Linked DNA regions of Bombyx mori. The protein of the gene in region 2 interacts with the protein of the main gene of each other region in a biochemical or structural test. Links are inferred from orthologs where the notes say so. Each region holds a gene or a part of one and is shown on either strand. Other genes may lie near its edges.

Region 1 (4,483 bases), on a different chromosome or scaffold from region 2:
ATTAAAGTTTTGTCCCAATTTAAATATTATTAATCAGTCAACATGTTTAACCAACTATTGCAACATTTGGTGGGACCTTGATAATATTATTCTGAGCTATATCAACATTATTCAAGGGCATTATGAAATCAACGTATTTGCTAATTTAGACTACAAAATTAACATAATTGAATATTTTAGGTATAAAATCATAATTAAAAAATATAAGTTAGAGGCCCATTGTGAGTCAGAAAGGGTAGTCAACACCATTTATGTCTGAATCATGGAACAATAAAAAGGCTGTTATACAATACTATTGACACTTCAATCCCATATCTCAAGGTGGGTGGTGGCATTCTGGTTTTAAAACTAAAGACCAGGTGAGCTAGGAGCTCATTAACCTATGCATTAGTAGTGCAGTGCCGTAGTATATATTTTAAATAATACACAAGCTTTATTCTGTGGATATTCTAATTATGAACTTAAAATCCAACAACTATTGTAATTCAACATAACTTTCATGAGTTTTTCTTTGCTTACGTATCCTACTGGTAAAATCATAATAGCAACATTAAATTGAAATATTTTTTTTTAGTTCTATTTTAGTTTAGCTATAAATTAAAAGTAGAAAATTATATTATAGTTGAAACAGAAACATAAATACATTACCCGATTTCCATTTTTTCCGCTATTGACAATACATCGTGTTCAGGTTCTTCTGACCAATCATGCAGCACTAATTTGGCTTCAAGCCATGTGTCTGGTCCAATAATAGGTCCTTTATACTTGGGTTCATCACACTGTCCGACTAATCCAAGGCTCTCACCTGGTTTAAGTCCCATTTCTCCATAGGCAAATCTTGGAGCAAGTTGCAAAATACATTCCTCACCTCTGTACATTAAAGTTAATGCTAGGTCCAAACCTTGCAATACCTAAAATATTAAATTTATTTAATGAAACAGTTTCAGTTGTTTTAGTTAAAATAATTTTACTCAATTATATAGAAGAGATATTATTTAGGAACAAAACTGCCCTAGATACTTTTCGTCTATAATTAGTTTATAGTTGCTGTAATGTTTATGGTTATTTTTTGTTGGTTTGCAATATGTATAGAGTGCAAGGGAACACATTCCTAAAAAGAAAGACAGTAGGTTAGTGGAACCTCTCAGAAGAAAACTGCAAAAATATGATTTAATTCTTAAATTCTCAAAATCAATAAATACATCCTATAAATACCCATAAATAATAATGATTATGAAACAATATAAATACATCTTACTAAAAAAAATATAAAGTTACAAAATCATTCATTTCTGAATAAAATTATATTTTTGAATATTTTTAACTGACATATAGATTTCAAATGCTATTCATCACTTTTGCAAAACTTTCATGCATTCATTTCTATAGTCTTAAATTTTATAAGATGCAAACAAAAATTATCTAATCAATATGGCCATCATATTACAGTATATAAAGTAATGCATATAAGTAAATCAAGGAAAAGATATCGCTCACAACAGATTTCTGATAAGAACAAATAATAGATCTTTAACACAAAAATATACCTAAATTTAAAACATTTTTAGTCTTTGCATCACCTACTTTACAAGATACTTTTTACTATAAACCCTCAAAGGCAGAAACTGATAAAATGTACTAAATATATTCATAATCCCAAAAATTATCATCAATATATTATCTGTGAATAATAAGAAACAAGAACTTCTGGAAATGACAAAGCTTCATATTAGCAGCCCTAAAGCTTTTTTTTAATCATCTTCACACAGATTATTCATAATTATTAAATTTGTTTTGGAATGTCTATCGCTAGTACATGGGTGATAAACCTCATCATCCAACCACAAAACCAAAATCAGTGTCAACATTAATGACTCTAGGATTATTTCAGTTCACTTCAAAAAACTTTATTAGATAATATATATTAGAATCAGTTTTAACTCACCTCATTGTCTCCTAAATATATTTTTATCTGATCTCTTTTCTCCACAATGTTGTTACTGTCTTTTATTTTGAGTTCATAGCTGATTCTGCATATGTCCCCTCTTTGTGGTCTGGATCCAGATATTTCATCCCCTTGTTTCAATATCTGCAAATGGGAGTTTCTTTTGCTTTGAAATGTAGCAAATGTTCCACAGTAGAATACTCTTGTAAGTTTTAGTCAATTGATGCAATTTCCGAGGTGATTTTACTACTTTATGCATTTGATTTTAACCATTAAACATTTTCTTCTTTTTATTAAGACTTTGGATACAAGTTTCCTTGTTTAATTTGGAATAAAAAATTAAAAGCGGAAAATATATTTGAAATATTTTAAATTTGCCTCATGTACAGTTATTTTTTTTTATATTAAAATTATGGGTTTTAGTTTTTTTTATCCCATTATAAAAACTTTTCGGTGAATAAATCGTTAAGTAATGAACGAAATTAAATTTTTATTTATTTAATCTATTGATTTAAAGAAGAAGTTTAGATTAATATTTTTAAACTTTAAGCAACCTTTTTAAGCAGAGCTCCGGACCCAAGAACATCTTGCCATTCGTCATTCTTTACTTCTGGGGATTTTTCCTTCTCTGCTGCGGCAGCTTCGGCAAGTTTCGCTTCCTCGATCTCCTCAGCAGCCGCAGCCGCTAAGTCTTCGAAAGAGCTGCTTTCAGACTTGTCCGTCAAAGCTTTGCTTTCTTCACTCATCTGTAAATAAAGCGTGGTGTTTGTTCGATCGTAAAGATAATACGTAGTTAATGTTTATCATTCAATCAACTATTTTCATGTTGAAAAACATCTTATCGACATCGCAACTTGAATTTATCAAGAGGACATTTATCTTACTCTTACCTTTAAAAGTTTCTAGAAAGCGAAAGTAACAGATAATATTTATATATTAACACACAACAAAACTAGGTAACAAGTAGGTACAAATAAATCAGAGAATATTTGACAGTATGACAATTCAAGTTTTTGGCTTTGATTCAGTGTGACCACTAGATATGTGTCGTTCGTTCAATTTTAGAGATTCAGATCAGTACCGGTAAAATGGGGCGATTAGGGATTGAAAGGCGAATCGGGAAAAAACCGGGAAAATCTTTCGACGCTCAATATAAGTTTTATATTCGTTGCAAAATCTTCCATTTTTTTGTAGTTTAATAGTAGAATGTTGAAAGTTCACAAAACAACTCTGAATATGCATGATAATAGCTGCTAACTTATAAAAAATCGCGTTTCAAATTAACTTCCTGTGGTGGTAATTATTTTAGTGCTAGAAACTTTGCTCTCTTTTATTTATTTGATAATAATAGAAGACGACTATGATTTATAAACGTTATTTAGTGTTTGAACCAGCATATATATTAAAGGTAAGTCTCAGTTGTTATTGGTTTTAATGTATTTGATTAAATAAAAATACATGTAAAAATCTGTTGTTCTTGGGGATATTGGGGACGTCTTAGGTACAAATAACAACGAAAAAGGGGTCAATTGGGATGAGAATACGTGAAATGGAAACGACCTAAGTATAAATAGGTACAGGTTTGTAGGGTTGTCTATGTAGTTATAACAATCTTTTTTAAATTTGTTGGTAAAAATCTGGTTTATCGAAGCGAAATTGGGAATAAGTCTTTAGTTGAAATAGATAAGCAATTTAATATAAGTAAGTCGATTTTGCAGAGACATGTAACAAGATCAATGAAATCTCAAGGTGACAAAAATGTTTCAGTAATACATAATAGAATATTTAATATTTGTTCAGAGTGGGGGTATTCATCTGATTAATCCATGGAATAACCGACACACCTAATCTCTTAACCCAGATAGAAATATCAGCCCCCTAAGTACTTACCAAGAACGGAGAAATATAAACCGTTTCTAAGAAAGCCCACTATATATGTGTAAATATATATATATATATATATATATATTTTGTTGTTACTGCACTGTCGATTGCACCTATAATTGAGGTGATGTCTGCCATGTACTTTTGTCAGTTTTTCAATTTTTTTTATTGATGATCACTTTGTTGGTGCAACTAAATAAATAAATAAATTAAAACTATATATAAAAATAAAAGTAGTGCCAACCCTAGCAAATTTCTCATTTCGTCCCAATTAACCGCAATTTTCGGGTAAATAGGGATTACACCTATTTTTGCATTTTTTGCTTAAACTGGAATGCTAGTTGCTTATTTTTAAATTAGACAACAAAGATGCCCCCAAGACTCAATCATTTTGATCCTGATATAGCATTATATACATCAACAACTACCTTAAAATTGCTCATAAAGTTGGAATTTGTCCCTAATCGCCCCATTTTACGGTACTGACCTGTTGACAAAATGATCCGGTTCGTACGACCCGTTCAGTCGAACGTTTGGGTTACCGTTTATTACATCAATTTATGACGTAAATAATATTATCAGGTTACTGGCTGGATAAAGTTTAGTATTGAATAACAGCTTAAAGGAACTGTTATAGTTCGATTGTTTACGTGA
Region 2 (3,833 bases):
TCAGCTATAGTAAAATATAATAACGAAAACGTATTATGTGTCGCGTATGTAAAGTATGTTAACGTATTTTGGGAAATTACAAACAGCTAATGTGTTTTTTATTTCGCTTGGGCAATTTTATGCATACAAAAATTATTTGCACGCAAATCGTGTGTCAGAAACATTATAGAGGTGCATCGAGAAGGCGCACTGTGTTGCGCAATATTACTACGGTTTTCCCCTTTGAAATCAAACAAGGAAAATGTAATCAGAATTCTTGTCTACGATATTCTTAAGGACGTCCCGCACTTATGCTCTTATGCACTTGATTAAAGCAAACATTTCAGCATCTTATAGCGTGGTTAAGTAGATGAGATAATGGCCCAGTGAGTAATAGGCAAACTACGAGGTGCTACCTACTATATGAGGTTCAGATACCAATAGAGCATTGGAAAAGTACTTTTTCAAAAGCTATGTTCAAAAGGCAATATCGCTGCAATAACAATGACTAATGAACTGTTTGTTTTTATTTATTGATTTGTTTCTTAGATGGATGAACGAGCTCACAGCCCACCTAATGTTAAGTGTTTACTGGAGCATTATTATTATTGCGGGTTAAATTTTTATGACGCGATGTTATTCCTTCATCGTGGAAGACATTCGTGAGAATTTGTTAAGTACGTACATATTTCATTAGAAAAATTGGGCGGGATTCAAATACCGGTACAGTCGTATCGCTCGATACGATCGTATTATTTTTAGGCCACGAAGATTTTCTGAAACCGTAGAAGAATCATACAGAATCCCTGGGCACGGCTTCCCGGAATTTTTCGAAATCAATTAAACTCAAAATACACACTATTTTACAAGGATTATTTTCTAACGATTAGTTATTTCATTGGCCGTATTCTGATTCTTCAAAGGTAGGTAGCATTAACTCATGTCTGTTGCAAAACTAGTTCCCGACTGAAGGGCAATACAGCTACTTTACAACACAATTGAAATTCATGGTTCACGACAGAGTAATGTGAAATTTGACTTCAAGGACTAAAAGCCGCAACATTAAAAACAAAAAACATTAAAGGTCAAATTTTCTAAACATCTATACTTACTGTATTTCCTAAGGGCTTCTTCTCGTTCGTGAGCATCGAAGTACCACAGTGTTATTGCGTATCTGTAACGAATGGTGATTTGAATATAATCGGATACTTAGTATTAAGTGTGATAAAGCACTTGTTTTGCACATTCCTTTCATATAACTATCCTGCCCTTCTCCCAGACACCTAGGGTCGGCGCAACATGTTTTCTCCTTCCATACTCTTCTATCATATACCATTTCTTCACTCACTCTCTTCTCACCCATATCGTCTTTCACGCAATCCATCCATTTCTTCTTAGATCTACCTCTTCCTCTATATCCTTCCGCATTCATAGTTAACATTCTCTTACCAATCTATTTTTCATTTCGTCTCATCACATATCCATACCATCCCAAACGCGCACTTCTCAGCTTCTCTGTCACAGGTGCCACTTTCAGACTTCCTCTAACATATTAATTCCGTATTCTATCCATTCTCGTTACTCCACACATCCATCGCAACATTCGCATCTCTGCTGCATGCAATCGCCTTGCTGTTTTGCACATTCCTTTATGCGACAGAATTCCGACATAATACGCGTTGTTTACTGATAATGATTTACTAGTCATTAAGCTACTGATGATTGTCGTTCGGAATACATTCGTTCGGTTTTAAACATATCGGTATTATATTCGTCGTCTTATCTATAGTTTTGTGGTTGGCTTAAGGCTATACAGTATGCTTAGTGCGAGTTTTTTAACGTACTCGATAGCGTAAGAGTTAATTCAAATTTGTATGCAGCTTGGAACAGCGCCCCTAGCGGCAAACGTAGGTAAACGTTTCAACTCTATACAAATTAACCTTTTACGCTATCGAGTACGTTAAAAAACTCGCACTAAGCACACAGATAAGTAAGCTTTAACGGAGGCTTTCATTTGCGTTAATACATAGAAAAAATACCTCCCTACGAAATAATATTTTTACTGTGAATATGAATCGCTATCTGAGCACTTCCGAAGGAAGACTTGCACCCTAAGGAGATGACGTCACGGGCAAAGTATCAGCTCGAACTCTTCGACGAGCACAATGCCCTGCGCTGTGGCTGGTGCCATCGTTGTAGTCATGTTGATCGGTAGAGTAGTTAAGATGCGAAAGCGTGTCAAGCAAATTCACTTTCGCTTTTATAATATTCAGTGTGGATTTCATGCACAGAATATCATATGATACAGAAATATACTTTGAAAAGTACTTTAAGTTTAAGAAAAGTAGTTTGATGTAGATGCAAATCTAAAGTGGATTAAAAATGTATGATAATCTATACTAATATAAAAATCTATAGTGGTTTTTACGGATGTTCCGTTATAACTACTGAACCGTGCATCCGATTGACTTCAAACTTGGTATCCATGTAGAAAATACATGTACTTAATGGATAGGCTAATATTTATATGAGTTTTGGACTCCCTACATCAGTTGCGGAGGCGTTAATGATGAGAATCTTTGTGGGGGAGAGAAATAATAATGTTAATTATAAATGCCCAGCGAAACGGACAGGTACAGCTAGTAGTTCCTATATTTGTTGTTTCTTTTCATCTTAAAAATCGTACGTCGAGAATCTATTGGAATGAAATATTTCACATGTCTAGTAATACCTGGTGCTGTAGGCGGGTTGGACTTCGTGTGGGTTTCGGCGATCCGACCAGAAGAAAAGCATCCGGTCGAATATCGGTGCTATATCGGCCACTTGATTGGTACCTTCCGGGAACACCCTGGAACCAATTATTATTAATGCAATTTAGCTAAGCTACAAAAATATGTAATATTTTCGATGCTGTCTATTTCTTTTTAGATCTACTGTTTTTGCTACGATGTTTTTAAAAAAAATCTTCTTTCTTTCCTATTACCCTCTGTTGGGGTGTAGGGCTCGAATCAAATTCATCCATTTGCATCGGTCTTGGGCAGTCTGTTCTAACTCCTCCCATGTCATGCCCAAGACGCCCAGTTCCTCCATCGAGCGACACCAAGTTGTTCTGGGCCGGCCTCTCTTCGTTTTGCCAGACACTGTCTAGGTCAGTGCTCTCTTGGATTGGTGGATAGCAGGCTTTCTTAATGTGTGACCAATCCAATGCCGCGATAAAAAATTTTTATTGCTTAAATGGTTGCCACCCACTTTGAGATATAAGTTCTAAGGTCTCAGTATAGTTACAACGGCTGCCCCACCCTTCAAGCCGAAAGGCATTACTGCTTCACGGCAGAAATAGGCAGGGCGGTGGTACCTACCCGTGTGGACTCATAAGAGGTCCTACCATATTATAACTGTGCTTAGAATAAAATTATTAAAGCAACTACATATATTTATTTACCTGAGTAGTCCACCGTATCGTTTCACGTCCCAGTCCAGGTTTAGATAATATATGGCGGTGATGCACCTGCCATCTTTGTTGGGGTTGTCTACGTGCTTCACGTAATGGCTGCCAAGTCCTGGGTAGCACGCTACCATGGCCTGTAGCGAATTATTTTAATTAATTAATTACATGTTGTTTGATTACCACAGCACTAACAAATAACATAATATGTTGTTTAAAACCTTTAAAAAAAACACGCATAAATACGGTTAAAAACCAAACCAACAATAATTAATCTCATCTTTTTTTCAACATTTTGATACTGGCCCGAACATCAGAGCGAAGTTAAAATTATTGTACTTCCATTGGTCCTTGATGCGTGTGCAAATTTCCTATTTAGTTTTGAAGTCCGTGAAAATGACGTTCAAAA

Evidence for each region.
Region 1: the proteins of egl nine homolog 1 (region 2) and peptidyl-prolyl cis-trans isomerase FKBP8 form a complex in vitro, tested with the Homo sapiens proteins (2 studies listed by BioGRID, with this or other methods). The link is inferred for Bombyx mori from reciprocal best matches to the Homo sapiens genes EGLN1 and FKBP8.

The regions. Positions count from the first base shown.
Region 1 is NC_085125.1:9,573,506-9,577,988, reverse strand, and holds the start of peptidyl-prolyl cis-trans isomerase FKBP8, read right to left. Parts: upstream 3,020-4,483; 5' UTR 2,836-3,019; intron 2,692-2,835; coding exon 2,500-2,691; intron 2,090-2,499; coding exon 1,946-2,089; intron 912-1,945; coding exon 649-911; intron 1-648. UniProt on the Homo sapiens protein: Constitutively inactive PPiase, which becomes active when bound to calmodulin and calcium. Seems to act as a chaperone for BCL2, targets it to the mitochondria and modulates its phosphorylation state.
Region 2 is NC_085131.1:9,875,776-9,879,608, forward strand, and holds part of egl nine homolog 1, read right to left. Parts: intron 3,562-3,833; coding exon 3,422-3,561; intron 2,828-3,421; coding exon 2,711-2,827; intron 1,154-2,710; coding exon 1,042-1,153; 3' UTR 1-1,041. UniProt on the Homo sapiens protein: Cellular oxygen sensor that catalyzes, under normoxic conditions, the post-translational formation of 4-hydroxyproline in hypoxia-inducible factor (HIF) alpha proteins.